Mus musculus: one gene and its partner. The protein of the gene in region 1 binds, or shares a complex with, the protein of each later gene. Links are inferred from orthologs where the notes say so. Each region holds a gene or a part of one and is shown in the gene's direction. Other genes may lie near its edges.

The links.
Region 2: Lamtor1 (region 1) and Lamtor2 share a complex: the UniProt entries of both Homo sapiens proteins name them as parts of the ragulator complex. The link is inferred for Mus musculus from reciprocal best matches to the Homo sapiens genes LAMTOR1 and LAMTOR2.

The regions. Positions count from the first base shown.
Region 1 is NC_000073.6:101,906,687-101,913,888, forward strand, and holds the end of Lamtor1 (ragulator complex protein LAMTOR1), read left to right. Parts: intron 1-2,977; coding exon 2,978-3,123; intron 3,124-3,342; coding exon 3,343-3,420; intron 3,421-3,733; coding exon 3,734-3,860; intron 3,861-4,586; coding exon 4,587-4,679; 3' UTR 4,680-5,217; downstream 5,218-7,202. Other genes in the region: Lrrc51 (leucine-rich repeat-containing protein 51), read right to left, coding at 6,385-6,526, 6,749-6,897. UniProt on the Homo sapiens protein: Key component of the Ragulator complex, a multiprotein complex involved in amino acid sensing and activation of mTORC1, a signaling complex promoting cell growth in response to growth factors, energy levels, and amino acids.
Region 2 is NC_000069.6:88,547,755-88,555,508, reverse strand, and holds Lamtor2 (ragulator complex protein LAMTOR2), read left to right. Parts: upstream 1-2,557; 5' UTR 2,558-2,645; coding exon 2,646-2,713; exon of another isoform or gene 2,714-2,779; intron 2,780-2,991; coding exon 2,992-3,154; coding exon of another isoform or gene 3,155-3,175; exon of another isoform or gene 3,176-3,279; intron 3,280-4,723; coding exon 4,724-4,813; intron 4,814-5,504; coding exon 5,505-5,561; 3' UTR 5,562-5,690; downstream 5,691-7,754. Other genes in the region: Ubqln4 (ubiquilin-4), read right to left, coding at 20-171, 1,597-1,704; Rab25 (ras-related protein Rab-25), read left to right, coding at 7,434-7,476. UniProt on the Homo sapiens protein: As part of the Ragulator complex it is involved in amino acid sensing and activation of mTORC1, a signaling complex promoting cell growth in response to growth factors, energy levels, and amino acids.

The DNA.
Region 1 (7,202 bases):
AGATCTTACTCTTTTCGAGAAAGCATCGACTTGGAGAGACTTCAGTGTCTTGTTTTTAAATTTCCATCTTCCCCTTGGTGCATCTCATTCCTCTCTACTACAGTCCCTTCCCTGCCTAGACGCTTTTGAGGAGGGGAAGACTTTTGCAAGGCTGGGTGTCAGCCCCCTGGCCATTCCTCTTAACAGCTGCCTCGAAGCCTGAGCCCTGATGTCTACACACAGTAGGCACCGTGCCACAGAGAACAGTTTCACCCGGTCTAGTGGAGGATACAGTCAGAGACATAAGTGGTGTCGCTGTACTTGGGAAGGTGTTCTTCCCCCCAGTGAACCCTGCAGTTCAGGAGAATGTGATTTGTGTCGGGGTGAGTGCTTCCTGAACCTCATTCATTGCTTGACCTGAGTTTGACATGCCTGTGGCCGTAACTTTCACTTCATTCTGTCATGCTAAAGGCTAGAACTGCAAAAATAGGAACCCACCACAAAACAACAGAAAAGGAAGAAGAAGGCAGATATCCCTGCCTAACAGCAGAGTTATGGAGGGAAAGCTAAAATTCCACCTTCCTCTTTACAGATTCTCATTTCTGGCTGGTTTGGTTTGTTTTTAAAAAGGTCTCCTGAAGCCCAGACTGGCTGCAGACCTGCCATACAGTTGAGGATGACCTTGAATTTCTGGTTCTGCTTCTCCCTGAGTGCTGGGATCCTAGGCATATGTCACTCACTATGTCCAGTTTTATGCAGTCGTAGAGATCAAACCCCAGGGTCATATCCCCAGTCCCTCTTTAGGTAGGCCCTCTTCAGCATTGCCTGTCCCTGTATTAGAAGTGTAAGAATTACCTTACACCTAAGAGAGTGAGTCCCAGTACTTAGGAGGCTGACACAGAACTGCCTCAAGTTTGTGGTCTGTCTGGCTACACAGTAAGTTCAGGGCCTGTCTGTCTCAAAAAGAAAAATGTATAAGCAATAGGTCTTCAGAGGCCGCCTACGATTGCTTCATTTGACTCCTGCTAGTTACCTGTAAAATGTTTAAAGGTGAGGGAAAAGTTAGGAGGATTGAAGCAATTTAGCTAATGTTAGAAGTACTCTAGCCACGCCGGGCGTGGTGGCGCACGCCTTTAATCCCAGCACTCGGGAAGCAGAGGCAGGTGGATTTCTGAGTTTGAGGCCAGCCTGGTCTACAAAGTGAGTTCCAGGACAGCCAGGGCTACACAGAGAAACCCTGTTTCGAAAAACAAAAAACAAAAACAACAAAAAAAGTACTCTAGTCATGGTGTTCTAAGAACAAGACACATACCTTATATACTGGGACAGGCTCTGAGGTAGTGGTGGGCAGACACCTTAGGTCTGCTAAAGTCAATAATGAAATCTTGACTCAGGTTGTATTGGCTTAGGAAGCAAACCTTGATGTAAGAAACCTACCCCATGTATCACTCATTCTGTGGGTGTCAGGTGATGTCATTAACTTTTTCCCGGTGGGGTTGGGGATGACACGGCCCTATCCTGAAGGAATATTTGTCAGGAGCAGTGCTGGGGAAAGGACCGGCAGCAGCCGTGGGGGACTCCTTGTGACCACCAGCTTCCCTTAGAGACCCTTTCACCTTTGGTAAACCTTTTATCTGTCTAGCCTATTGATACTGAGGAAGGAGAAAGATAGATTGTCCAGGAACCTGAGGCAGAAGACCGTAGATGTTTCCTTCTGTCGTGGTGAACTGGGTCGAGTGGTTTGAGGACATTTGGGCAATGTAGTTCTGAGGAGGAAGAGCAAAGTGGAAAGGCTGAGCCTGTCTGGGGTGGGGCAGGCCAGGCAGGAGGAAGTAGCCATCATAGGGAGAGTTGTGAGCAGGAGAGCTGGCTCCTGTAACTGGGAAGCTGGTGGGAACTGAGACAGCCCAGGAGGACTGCTGAGACTGGCTGGCGGCCACTGGAAGTTGATGGGTCAGCACTGGCCAGCATTCCTCTCCTTCTACACACTATACTCCTTCAGAAGTTGCCATGTCCCGAGCCTTCTAGGGCCCAAATAGACTTGAATCAGGTCTGCTTATCCAGATTGCAGCTGACACAGCCAGCAGGGGTCTCTACTGATGGACTTAAGGCAGTAGATTAGAACAAGGTCTGAACCAGGACAAGGAAAGTCCAATGTTAGGAGATGTAGTTTTGGTTTAATTCTAAATTGGTTCTGGTGTTTGAGGTTGTCTGTGGAGGTTAGTAAGCAGGGTTGCTGGAGACTGGGCTGACTGGGTCAGGGAGAGTGTAGTTTGTCTGGGAGGAAGAGCTCCACTGTTCTCTCAGGTCAGCAAATCAGGAGGTAGAGGCCCGACCCTGGCGAGTACCAGGCCAGCTGGGTTCTATAGTACCCTCGCAGCCTGGGGAACATGGGAGGACTGTGCTTTGTGTGCATGTGTGTACAAAGATCCTGGAGAGAAAGGGGGGGGAGAGAGGACATTGGTGACTGTATCTCGGCTGTGGGCTTGGAGTTTCTGCACTAAGATAAAGCGAGGAATGGCAGCGTACAACTGGCCTGCTTCCTTGCAGTCCAGGGACTTATCTGGCCATGCTAGGGCCTTATGTTGTGGGTAGACATCTTTGCTGGGCAGTACTTTCCCCGGGGAACCAGGAAGGCTGTTCTTGGGCTTTTGACTTGCATTGATTTCTCCTCTAGAACCTTACTTTGATATTTTCCCGCCTTCTCCAACTTTCAGTCAGTTCCAATAGCCTTTGTCCAGAAGGGGTTGACCAGTTACTGAGGCTCCAGGAATGTCAGTGTTGCTTTGCTCCCCTCTGAATGTTTTTTAGGTTCTCTAGGTTCATCCTAGACCACCAACTGGGCCAGTCTGAGAGTGAATGTTTTCTGACTCTGCATCTACCTGGACACTTGGAGTCATGCTCATAAAAGTAGTTTTAGTATGTCAGAACCTTTGAAATGAAAGGAAGATTAGACTTAAGGCCCTGGGGCTGACTTTTCTCTACTGGCCCCTCCTAGGATCGGGAGGAGAGGAAGCTGCTGCTGGACCCCAGTAGCACCCCTACCAAAGCCCTCAATGGAGCCGAGCCCAACTACCATAGCCTACCTTCAGCTCGCACAGATGAGCAGGCCCTGCTTTCCTCCATCCTTGCCAAGACAGCTAGGTGAGTGTCACAGGACCAGGCTGGGACACAGGCAGCCAAGTTTGGAACATAGAGGATGGGACAAGGTCATTAGGGAGCGATGTCACTGGGTTCTGCCTTGTTACGGTGGGCTGGCTGAGTACTAGTGTCAGAAGGCCTTGGGATTCGCACCTAGCACTGCTTCTCGTCTGTGACCATCTAAAGCACCTGTCATGTCTTCTCTGTCTCTCCTTTTCAAAGCAACATCATTGATGTGTCTGCCGCAGACTCCCAGGGCATGGAACAGCATGAGTACATGGACCGGGCAAGGCAGTACAGGTAAGCATGGGCCAGCTGCCTAGACATCCTTCTCTAGCTCGGGAGTTTGCTCTCCAGTCCAGGCTCTTCATTTGGGTGGAGCCCAGAAAACTAGCTACAGATCACTTAAGTGCCTCAGGCATTCAAGTCGGCCCAGTTTGCCCAATGTGTTTGATCCAGGGTGATCAGGTCAAAGGAGTACAGCCAGAGTGAGTTTGGAATGAACTGTACCCTGTCACCATGATCCCTTGGCCTGAGGGAGTGAGGCTGGCCTGGGCAGGACAGGGCAAGCTTTGGCCTAATTGTCCTTCCCTGTCTCCTCCCTCTTGGCCAGTACCCGCTTGGCTGTGCTTAGCAGCAGTCTGACCCATTGGAAGAAGCTGCCACCGTTGCCATCTCTCACCAGCCAGCCCCACCAAGTGCTGGCCAGTGAGCCTATCCCCTTCTCTGACTTGCAGCAGGTGAGCACTCCTGGCTGGTCCCCTACCACTTCCCACATGGCTTCCCAGGGGTGGAGGGTGGGTGGGTGGGAAGCCTAGTATTGGTGCACCCAGTTTATTCCCACTTTGGTCTTGGTTTTCACAGTGTTCTTAGTCTCCCCCACCCCCACCTCCCCGCCCCAGTCACACACACACTGTTTATTCTCCTAGCATCTGCCCTTGCTTTTGTCTTTTTCTCTCACTTCCTTCCAGAGATAAAACAAGGGCTTTGTGCATGCAAGGCAAGTGCTCTACCAGTAAGCTACAATCTTTTTTTTTTTTAAATTTACCTATTTATTATATGTAAGTAAATTGTATCTGTCTTCAGACACACCAGAGGAGGGCATGAGATCTCATTAGAGATGGTTGTAAGCCACCATGTGGATGCTGGGAATTGAACTTAGGACCTGCGGAAGAGCAGTCAGTTCTCTTAACCGCTGAGGCATCTCTCCAGCCCTTAAGCTACAATCTTAACCTAACCTTTGGGCTTTGAGAGAAGGACTCAGTGTTATAGCCCAGGCTGGAACTGAATTGTGGCCCTTCTGATTTTGCCTCCCGAGTGGTGGGATTATAGGCAAGCAGCAGCACACCCACAGCTCCTTTGGCTTTCAGTCCACTCTTCCTTCTTTCCTTTACTGCCCCTCCCTCTGCTCACACTCTTAAGTCTCCCTCTCATGTTGTTCTTTCCCTCCCTGGCCTCTGTCTCAGGTCTCCAGGATAGCTGCGTATGCCTATAGTGCACTTTCTCAGATCCGCGTGGATGCGAAAGAAGAGCTGGTTGTACAGTTTGGGATCCCATGAAGAGAGGGGCCCTAGGACAGCTCTTCCCTCGTCTTCACCCCGTCTCCACCCCACCTCTTCTGGCCCCCAGCCTCACTGTGGCTCTCTACAGTACCTAACCTGCTACTAATCACGGAGAAGAATGTGGAGGGAAAGAACAAGGCTGGAGGCCGGAGCAAGTGAGGACTAAGCAAGGGAAGGGAGGACCGATTGCCATCGGCCTTCATGCTCTGGTTAGGGTGAGGTTGGGGCCAAGAGGACAGGGCCTGGCAGATCTTCAGTCATTGGGAAGATGGAGATACCACTGTAGGGGTGACACCGGGAGACCTAGGAGATCCCTTCCTGCCCTCTTTCTCTTGGCCTCCGATTCACTCCTGTCCCCTTCCCTGACTTGGTGCTCACAGGCACCTCACTGGGGATTATGACCAGGGTCTAGACGAGCTTGAGTCTGAATTGAGTTTGTATTTCTAGCACCCTGGGTTTTTACATGTTTGCTCTTTTTGTTTTTGTTTGTCACCCCTCGATAAAGAAAGTATATTCATTTGTGTTGCTGGTTCAACCTGCTCTGTCCTGCCCACTCTTTACTTCTGGCTGTTCAAGTCTGCAAGCAGTGCAGTGCTGCAAGCAGAAGAAAGTCGGCAGCAGCATTAAAGAGGAAGCAGGAGACAAAAGTTCAGGGTTCCCGGGTCTTAGATGATACATTGTGGGATGACCCCAGGAGGATAAGTATTCATTGTCCCTTCTCCATTGATGGTCACACTGTCAGAGCTGTTCAGACTTGACTATGAGGCAGCTGTGACCATTGGTGCCCCTGCCTCAGGAGGCTTACACATTGCCCCTAGTGGTGGGAAAGACCCTGCTCTGCTTGTCGTCTTTTCAAGAAATGATTGTCTTCTCCTGTCCCAGCAGGGCCTCACTATGGAGCCCTGGCTGCCCTCGAACTCACAGAGAGCTTGCCTCTTTCTCCTAGAGCTGGGATTAGAGTTTTATGCCCAGCTAGGAAATGAAATCTTTTTTTTTTTTAAAGTTTATTTATGAGTACACTATCTTCAGATGCACCAGAAGAGGGCATCAAGTCTCACTACAGATGGTTGTGAGCCACCATGTGGTTGCTGGGAATTGAACTCAGGACCTCTGGAAGAGCAGTCAGTGCTCTTAACCGCTGAGCCATCTCTCCAGCCCCCTAGGGAATGAAATCTTGACCAGAATCACAGCCTGAGAGTAAAACTACCCTGCTCTGCTAGAAGTAGATCACAGCTGACTGCTGTTCCTAGTCTGGACGCTGAAGGCAGCGCCACACACCTTGGTACTTATGAAGATTTCTGTGAGGCATGGTGGCTTCTTCCTGAAATACCAGCACTCAGGAGGCTGAAGCAACAGGATTGCTACAAGTTCAAGGCCACCTTGGGCCACAGAGTCAGAATCTCTTGAAAAAAAAAAGGATTTTAGAAATTGCTCATCTACTCTCATCCCACGAATACTAAAGAGTACAAAAGGGGCCCAGAGAGGACAGAAAGGTTTCCTGAATGGCAGAACCTGGCTCCTGGGTCCTAAGCCAGCAAGCAGGCTTTTGCCTTCACTGTGAAGTTTTACTAGAAGTTGCTGAGTGTAGAGGGCATCTTAACAAGGTACAGGGGACTTATAATCTGTTCAACAGCTCAAATCATTTATTGTCAAACCAAGCTGATTATCCTCAGGGCATTCGGTGTGCTGGGTCCTGCGAATCTCAGAGAACATCCTGCTTGGCCCGGACCTTCTTGGGCTTGATGTTCATGCGTTTCCAGACTTCAGCTGTGCTGCGATCGGCCCTGGTGACTCCACTGAAGTCAAACGTGGTGATACGGGGCAGGTTGCACAGCACATACTGCCTGTGAGGAAGACTTGGGCTGGGGCCAGCCCCTACAGCAGGGAATGGCAGGGAGCTTGACGATGGTTTGGGAGGACTGGGTTCATTCTGAGAGCAAGGGGCATGCTTAGAGGTCTGGTACGTCCTGGGTCCACGTGTGGCAGAAGAATGGTCTTGAATTTCTTGTCTCCTCTCCCCTTGTTCCTTAGGGAAACTCATCTGGACCTTAGATCCAGGCACTTACCTGTACCCCTTTTCTTCCTCTATGGGGTTCCCATGGAGGGTCAGGCTCCGGAGACGAGGGAGGACAGCTAGCTTATTCACCTCCCCTAGGCGATGGATGCCGTTGCCGTGAAGGTAGAGGACACTTAGGTTGAAGAATGTTGTTAGGACCTGTTAGGGTAGAAATCAAAAGTCAGGCTGGACAAAGACTGGATCTCAGCTCAGCATGGACTATCTGGCCGAGGAAGAAAAGTTTGGAGACCAGCTTGGCCTTCCTCTCCAGCTCACATAGCCATTATATGACTCTAATATGCTTTCGATACTTTTAAAAAAATACTGCAAAAAAAACAAAAAAAAAATTACTGTTTTTTTTTAGTAGGGCATGGTGCCACATGGGATAGGTGGATACATGAGTTTGAGACCAGCCTGGCCTACAAAGGGAGTTCTAGGACAGGCAAGGCTGCAAAGAGAAATCC
Region 2 (7,754 bases), on another chromosome or scaffold:
AGCTCCTGTCTGTACTTACTTCTGAGGGGTTTTGATGACTAGGTGGACTGTGAGCCCATCCTTGATGCCGTGCTGGCTCAGGGTGTCCCCATCCTTGAGGATCTTGCCTGCGAAGATCAGGACCAGCTGATCCTGCTGAGCCTTAAACCTCCGGGAGATCTCCTCCTTGAACTGTGGTCAAGAGGCAGAGATCACTGCAGAGGCCAACTGCGCCCCGCTGCAAGACTTGACCCTCAGTTCTGCCCCTCTAGCTACAAGAATCCATTCAATTAGTTCCATGACACAGTATCCCAACCCTGGAAAGCCCCTGCTGCTATCCACAACAGCAGCTTCTGTCCCACCACCCAATTCTCTGAAAGTGATACCTCACAGAGGCATGGGCAGCCCTCCCCATCCTAAATCCTTCAACTAGCCTTGGGCTCAGGCTGTCTCTCTTCAGCCTTCTCTCTGCTTTTCAGTCCCAGCTTCCTCATCACTATAACAGATAATCTAGAGTATTATTGAGATCTATTGAGGAATCTAGTGTGTTAGTTACCATCTCTACTTAATTAAATTAATTAAATTTAATTAATTAATTAATTAATTAAGAGACAGGGTCTCTGCATGTAGCTCTTGCTGTCCTGGAACTTTCTATGTAGACCTCGAACTCAGATAGATCCACCTGCTTCTACCTCCCCAGGGCTGGGAATTTAAAGATAAGGATCAGAGAAGAGGTAATGTATCCGGGGATATAGGAACTCAGGTCTGGACATCAATGTCTTCATCAGACACATTCTCAATAAGAGCTGTTTTATAATTCAGCTTTTCCCAGGGGACTTAAAATTCTCTAATGAGAGAGCAGCAGTGGTACCAACGGCTACACTGGGGCGAGTTAAATTTTCTAGATTCTATCAGCTCCTCCAAAACACAACACAACACAACACATATTCTAACTATAAACAGTGCACTTGCTAAGCAAAAGATCCCTCTCTTCCAACCAGATGGCCTATTCTAAGCCCCGCCTATGTGCAATTCTGGAGCAGCTTCAAGCAGTGGGGAACACAGGCAATACTCCCTCACTCATTCTATATTATTTTGTTGAGCACCTACTGCGCTCAGCAAATCCTGTAGAGCAGAAAACTGAACTACACAACCGTTTCGATTTGCGACAAGGAGGCTCTGTGGAGAGAGAGAGAGAGGGAGAGAGAGAGAGAGAGGGCACCACCACCACGCGACACTCCCGGGAGAGCATAGCCGCAGCTCGCTCGGGCCGCACGGTGCCTTAGCGCCTGGAACCTCTACCAGTGACCCTGGAGCACACTCTCCTCAAGCCTAGGCTCCAAATGGAGCCCGCAAGCAAGGTGTCCCTTCCTCAAGCTCCCCCACCACGCCCCCAGCCCGGGTAGCGCGGCCAAACCGGCCCCTACCCGCGCCACGCTCCCCGGACTAGCCCTGGCAGGGCGCCCCCTACCCGCTTCTCCCGCCTGTATGCCCCTGGATTCCGCCCCGGCCGGGGGCCCGTCCCCGGCGCCAGGCCGACCCCGAGGTCTCCCTCTCTGCTCTGACCCCCTCGGTGCGCTGCTCCCGCCCTCCTGTCTCCTCCCAGCCAGATACTACCTCCTTGACCGAGGCTTGATCGCAGATCACGATCTCCTCCTTGTCCTTGGGGGTCTTGACGGTGACCCGAATCTGGGGCCTCGTCTCAGCCCCACTCGGCTCCGCCATGCCGCCGCCCGGCCGCCCGCCAGCCCGTCCGGCTCCTCCTCCTCCTCCTCCCGGCCCGCCCGGCCCGGCCCGACTCCGGGGCCTCCAACTCCCCCTCCCGCCCCTCCCCAAGGCTCCGCCGCCCACTCCGGACAGCCGCAGCCACAGCGCCCCGGGCGGCCTGGGGGAGCACTGCAGCTGGGGCGGCCCAGGCCCGAGCAGGGTGCGCAGCTGGCCCGGGCCGGACAGCGCGGAGGGCGGGAGATTCAGGGCCGCCTGCGGCTCCCTCCTGTTCGGACAAAGGACTTTCGTTGTCGCCGTCTTATCTCCGTTCCCTGGGGTCACTTGGTTTTCTTGAGAGGCCTGGGTTCGTTCCTGGTTCAGGACGTCCTTAAGACCTCTGCGGATTCGAGCAGTCGTGGCCTCCGGGGAACCGCCCCGAGGGAGCCATTAAGGACGGTTTCAGAGACCTGGAGTTTGCCTACGTGGCTTCTCTGAGCCTTGGGAGTAAAAGAGCAAGACCCCACAGAATTGTGACTAGCGTACAATATTGCTTTAAAAAATGGTCAAGGATGTGCCTAACAGATAGATTTATTATTAGATTGCGATTGACCAGTAGGCACGAAGGCGTCCTTCGCGTGGAAGATGTTAAAAGTATTTCCACCGTTGCCACTGTCCTTGCGCTCCCGCTCTCCCCCCCCCCAACTCCACAACCACATGGTCCCACTGGAACGCTGAACTATGGTTCCCAGAATTCCTTGAGCGATCACATGAAACTACGATTCCCAGAGGCCCTCGCGCGGGGCGGGAATTGGGCCAGAGCCTCAGTAGATGGGCCCGGTGACTACAACTCCCAGGCGCCTCGTAGCTGGGCTCCTGGGCCACCGGAAGCGACTGAGGGAGAGCAAGAGGCTGCGACTGTAGGGGTGTGTTGGTGCAGGTCAGGGTTAAGAGACGCAGGCATGCTGCGTCCCAAGGCTTTGACGCAGGTGCTAAGCCAAGCCAACACTGGAGGAGTCCAGAGCACCCTGTGAGTGAACAAGAACCCAAGCAGCGAGCGCTGGAATGGGGCGGCGCGCGGCTGTCTGCAGTAGGGGTAGGGAAGAGCCCTACGCCGGGAGGTGGCTAATGTTGCAAGCTGCAGCTTCGGAAACCCTGCTTGAGGGCTTCCTCGGAAAGGGAAATGGACAGTTGATTAGCGTGTTCCTGGATTCTTGCTTCCTAAAAGCGCCAGTAGCTGGAATTGGGATAGGAACTCAGACCTTTCACTCTTCCTGAGTTTGTTGATATCCTTCCCATTCTTGCCAGGCTGCTGAATAATGAGGGATCGCTGCTGGCCTACTCCGGTTATGGGGACACAGATGCCCGGGTCACTGCGGCCATCGCCAGTAACATCTGGGCCGCGTATGATAGGAACGGGAACCAAGCGTTTAATGAAGACAGTCTCAAATTTATCCTGATGGACTGCATGGTATGGAGTAAAGTAGGCTGACTTCGAACTTGCAATGATTATCCTGCTTCTGCCACCTCAACCCTGAGATTGCAGGTGTGCACCATCGCACCTTGCCAAATAAAACATAGATATTAAAAAAGGAAGTGAGAGTACGGTGCTGGCCTATGTGAGGGTCCATCTCAGTGAAAAGGAGACATTTGTTAAAAGATCCGAAGGACGATAGGAAAGGGGAAGAGAATTAAGCCATACAGCAATCATTTGGGGAAATATTTCTAACAGTGCTTGCTATGGTGGCTTATGCCTCTAGTTCAGTACACGAGAGACTGAGGCAGGCTCTCTTCGAGTATTTGTTTTCTTTCTTTCTTTTTCTTTTTTTGTTTTTCGAGACAGGGCTTCTCTGTGTAGTCCTGGCTGTCCTGGAACTCACTCTATAGAATCAGGCTGAACTCTGAAATCTGCTAGCTTCTGCCTCCCAAGTCCTGGGACTAAAGGTGTACACCACCACCGAGCAGACTTTGCAAGTATTTCTGACAACAGCAATTGCAAAGGGCCGAGGGCGGAGTGAGGCTTGGACAAAGATCAGTAAAGATGGAGCATCACAGAATGGGAAAAGGTTGTCGGGAGAAAGGGCTAAAGTCCTCTGAAGAGTGGCAGTGTGCAGAACTGAAAAAGGTGTTTGCAGTGGGGAAGGCCCCTTGGGAAGCTCTTCACTGTCATGCTGGCAGCCCATTCTTTACACCCACTCTCATTCACACTGGGTACTGAGTCCAGGGCTGGTGTCACTGCAGCCTAGCTAAGCTCTAAGAAATGCTTTTTAAGGGACAGATGTGGAGCTCAGTGGTAGAGCAGTTGCCTAGAGTGTTTGGGATTCTAGAACCCATTCCAAGAAACACAGTTTTTATTTTTGAGTCAGAGGCTAGTATACACACTGGAGCAAGTTCTGTGAAACATCACTTCTCTCACATAGATGTGCCATGACATTTTTATTGTTATTTTCAAATGTTGACCCACCCTAATTGATCCCCATTTTGAAAAGTTACACCATAGGAAAAGAAGAGACATAAGTTGGGTTGTGTGTGTGTGGGGGGGAGTTGTTTTTACCTTTTTAAGGTTTGTTTTATTCTGTATGTATGAGTTGCTTTGCCCAGGTGGTATATATGTGCCCCATGTGCATGCATGATGCCCCCAAGGAGGCTGAAAGAAGGCATTGGAGCCCCTGAACTGCTGTTATAGATGATTGTGAGCACAGTGTTGGTGTTGGGATTCGAACTCAAGCCTACTGCCAGAGCAGCATACGAGTTGGGTTCCTGGTCCTGACCTGCTGAGACAGTTCTCGGCATTAGAGAAGAGAACCCCAAGTTCTGGAAGACTTGGTTTCCCAGGATAGCTTGGTTAGCACATGGCTCAGCTGAGGCTGGAATCCAGTTTCAGACCCCCATGTCTTAAATGCTGGGCAGAGCTCCTAGCTGAACTTCCTGCTCTGCTAAGCTTGGGAGACAATGTCACTAGGACCAGAGGAACCCTGGGGAAGGCAGGAACTAAGGATGTCAAGCAGAATGCCCCAAAGTATCATGTCCTTCCCACCAGGAGGGCCGTGTAGCCATTACGAGGGTGGCCAACCTTCTGCTATGTATGTATGCCAAGGAGACCGTAGGCTTCGGAATGCTCAAGGCTAAGGTGAGTATATTCCTCTGTTATAAACTTTCTGGGCTGTAACATCTATGCATGCCCTTGCTCTGAATAAAGGACATGGAGACTTTAATTAGGTTTATTATGAGCTTTGGGCACTATAGCTGGGCAGATTCTCAACTATTCTAACCCAACCATATTGGCTTGGCCTATGTCCATGACCCATTACCTGTCCATCTTAGTCATGTCCTGGTACCTGCTTCCTCATCTTTGTCCAGCTGGCAACTCCTCTCCCAGAATTCCTATCTCTTCCTGGAAGTCCCACCTCCTACTTCCTGCCTTTGCTTTTTAATAAGCTGATCAAAAGGTGAGCGAGAGTGTTTACAAAATATGTAGCCAAATGAAACCAAATGAACCAAAGTCCAGTCTGCATTAAACTCTGCTGGCACAGAAATCGGCATTTGAATAATAATACAAAGATGATCTTTACATAGGGCGCAATATCATCATCCCAGCACTGATCCAGCCTTAGTTCCTGTTCACTGTGTTCCTTACATGTCCCTCCCCTCTCTGGAGTTCTCATAGCTCCTCACTCCATGTCTAGGATGGGCTAAAGAGCAGTGGGGGTGGGCTGGGGGGGGAGTTGGCTGCTAAGTGTGGCGTGGGGAGCCAGCGTGGTTCAGGGATCCGTCTAAGCATAAGCGATGCATGGACTGACTGTGCTCCTGCCTCCTTGCAGGCCCAGGCCCTGGTGCAGTACCTGGAGGAACCCCTCACCCAAGTAGCAGCATCATAACAGCGTGATGGAGGCTGGAGTAGAAAAGGGATGATGATCTGGAGGGAGGGGCGGGGCCCTAGAAACGCCATATCGGGCGAGGTACAGGAAGGGGGGGTTGCTTTTTTCTGAATAAATTTTCAACTCTTACCTGTGTCTCACCTGCTTTCTTGGGAGGAAAGTGTGGAGTGGTTTCCTCGGGAGGATTCCCCTCTCCTGCAAAGGTGGGCTCTCTCATTCCCCATCACCAAATCTCTCAGTGGTTCTTGGCAGGGCTGCCCAGTGCCCTTGGCTTCTCCAGTGCTGTGTCTCATCATACTCCTAATTGCTTTTTTTTTCCATTAATTTATATGTTTATTCTATTTACATTGCAAAAAGCTCCCTTCCCATCCTCCCAGAATTGCTTTTCTTTAAACAATTTGTTTTTTGGTTTTTGTGAGACAGGATTTCTCTGTATAACCCTGGCTGTCCTGGAATTCACTTTGTAGACCAGGCTGGCCTCCAACTCAGAAATCCGTCTGCCTCTGCCTCCCAAGTGCTGGGATTAAAGGTATGTGCCACTACACCCGTGTGAAAAAATTGTTTAGGTTATTTTATGTACATGAGTGTTTTGACTGTTTGTGTGTCTGCACTTGTGCCTGTAAAGGGCATCAGATATCCCTGAAACCAGAGTTAGCAGGTGGCTGTGAGAGAGCTATGCTGAGAACCTAACCAGGGTCTTCTGCAAGAGCAGCGGTGCCCTTAGCTGCTGAGCTCACTCAACCCTCAGAGCAGAATCTCACCCGCCCGTTTTGCAGCACCTGGGACTGATCTAAAGGAGCAAATGCCTGTTCTTGCTGGACACAGAAAATAGAGGTCACCCTTTCTAATTTAAGGAGTGCTCCTGCTCCTTTCCCTACCTTTTCATGATCCTCTCTGCAGCATTTGTTTTAATTTAAAAAAAAAAAAATCGTGTGTGAGCACAGCAGACTCCTCTGCATTGCCTTTACTTATTTACTGTTTGCGTACATGACGCGTGGATAGGTGTGTCCCACATACAAGCATGGCAGTCAGAAGATTGACCCCCAGAAGGCCTCAAGGTCTTCATCTCAGATCCTGCACCCATATTCACCGCATCCAGCTCTTTCTGCCCTTGTCTCTGAGATCCGTCCACGAAGGTAGTAAATCTGTTTATTGTATGTTAGGAAGGGACCCATCTGGGCAGGTGGCGTCCCAGCTCCACCTGTGTGAGAAATGCTGCCCCTCCCTGGCCTGGGGCTGTTAAGGAGGGGCCGGATGCTGCGTGCTGGTACAGCTCCCAAAACTCTGCATTGTGGGGAGATGCTGTGCCCAGCTTGCATTTCTTGCCCTGATAGCCCTTCCCCTGATGCCCCCCGGTATGTGTCCTTACCAAAACCTGAGATGGGAAAGCTGGAGGCCGGTACGTTTCTGCCCCACCCCGTGTCTACTTCAGCCCAGTGGCAGCTCTCCTTCTTAGAACCCCCAAAACCCAGCAATGTACACTCGGGCTCGCCGCAGCCTCACCCACTGTTACCTCTGTGACCAGGCCCTCTTATTTGGGGGAGTGTGGGCCAAGAGCAGACACCTAACCTGTTTAACCTGTCTGACGTCATCATCGCTCCACCCACCTGTGCCCCAGGTGCCCAGCGGAGCTGGCTAGCTCTTCCTGTTCTCAGCTTCCGTCCTCTCAGCTCCCACAGAGTAGCTAAACGTGCCAGAGCTGAGCCTCTGGGGCTCTTCCTGGCCTCAACTGAGCCCTCTTGTCCTTTTCCCCCAATGAGAGAGGAGCCAGGTGCAGGTCTCTTAAAAGCTGAGAGTTGAGGCCATTTAAACAATAAACAGACTCGTGACCTCTGCACCTGCAAACGTCTTCACTCTCCATGCTGAGCCAAGATGGGGAATCGAACAGATGAAGATTATAACTTTGTCTTTAAGGGTAAGTTGGGGTTCTCGAAAAGGGAGACTCCAGAGAGGGTGGGAGAGAGGCTATTTCCAGAGGACACAGGGTCTCCCTTTTATTTTTATCTCTACCTTGGACATTCTCCCCCCACCCGTCCCCAAGCTCAGCATTCCTTCTCCGAGAGAAAGGCCATGAGGAGTAGGCATGTCTGGTTACAGGTACAGATGTTCTGGAGTTGTATGCTCTCTATAAAGATGTGGATAATTTCTCCCTATTGCCAAATTATTCTTCCCTGCCCAGTCTCTAATAGATGC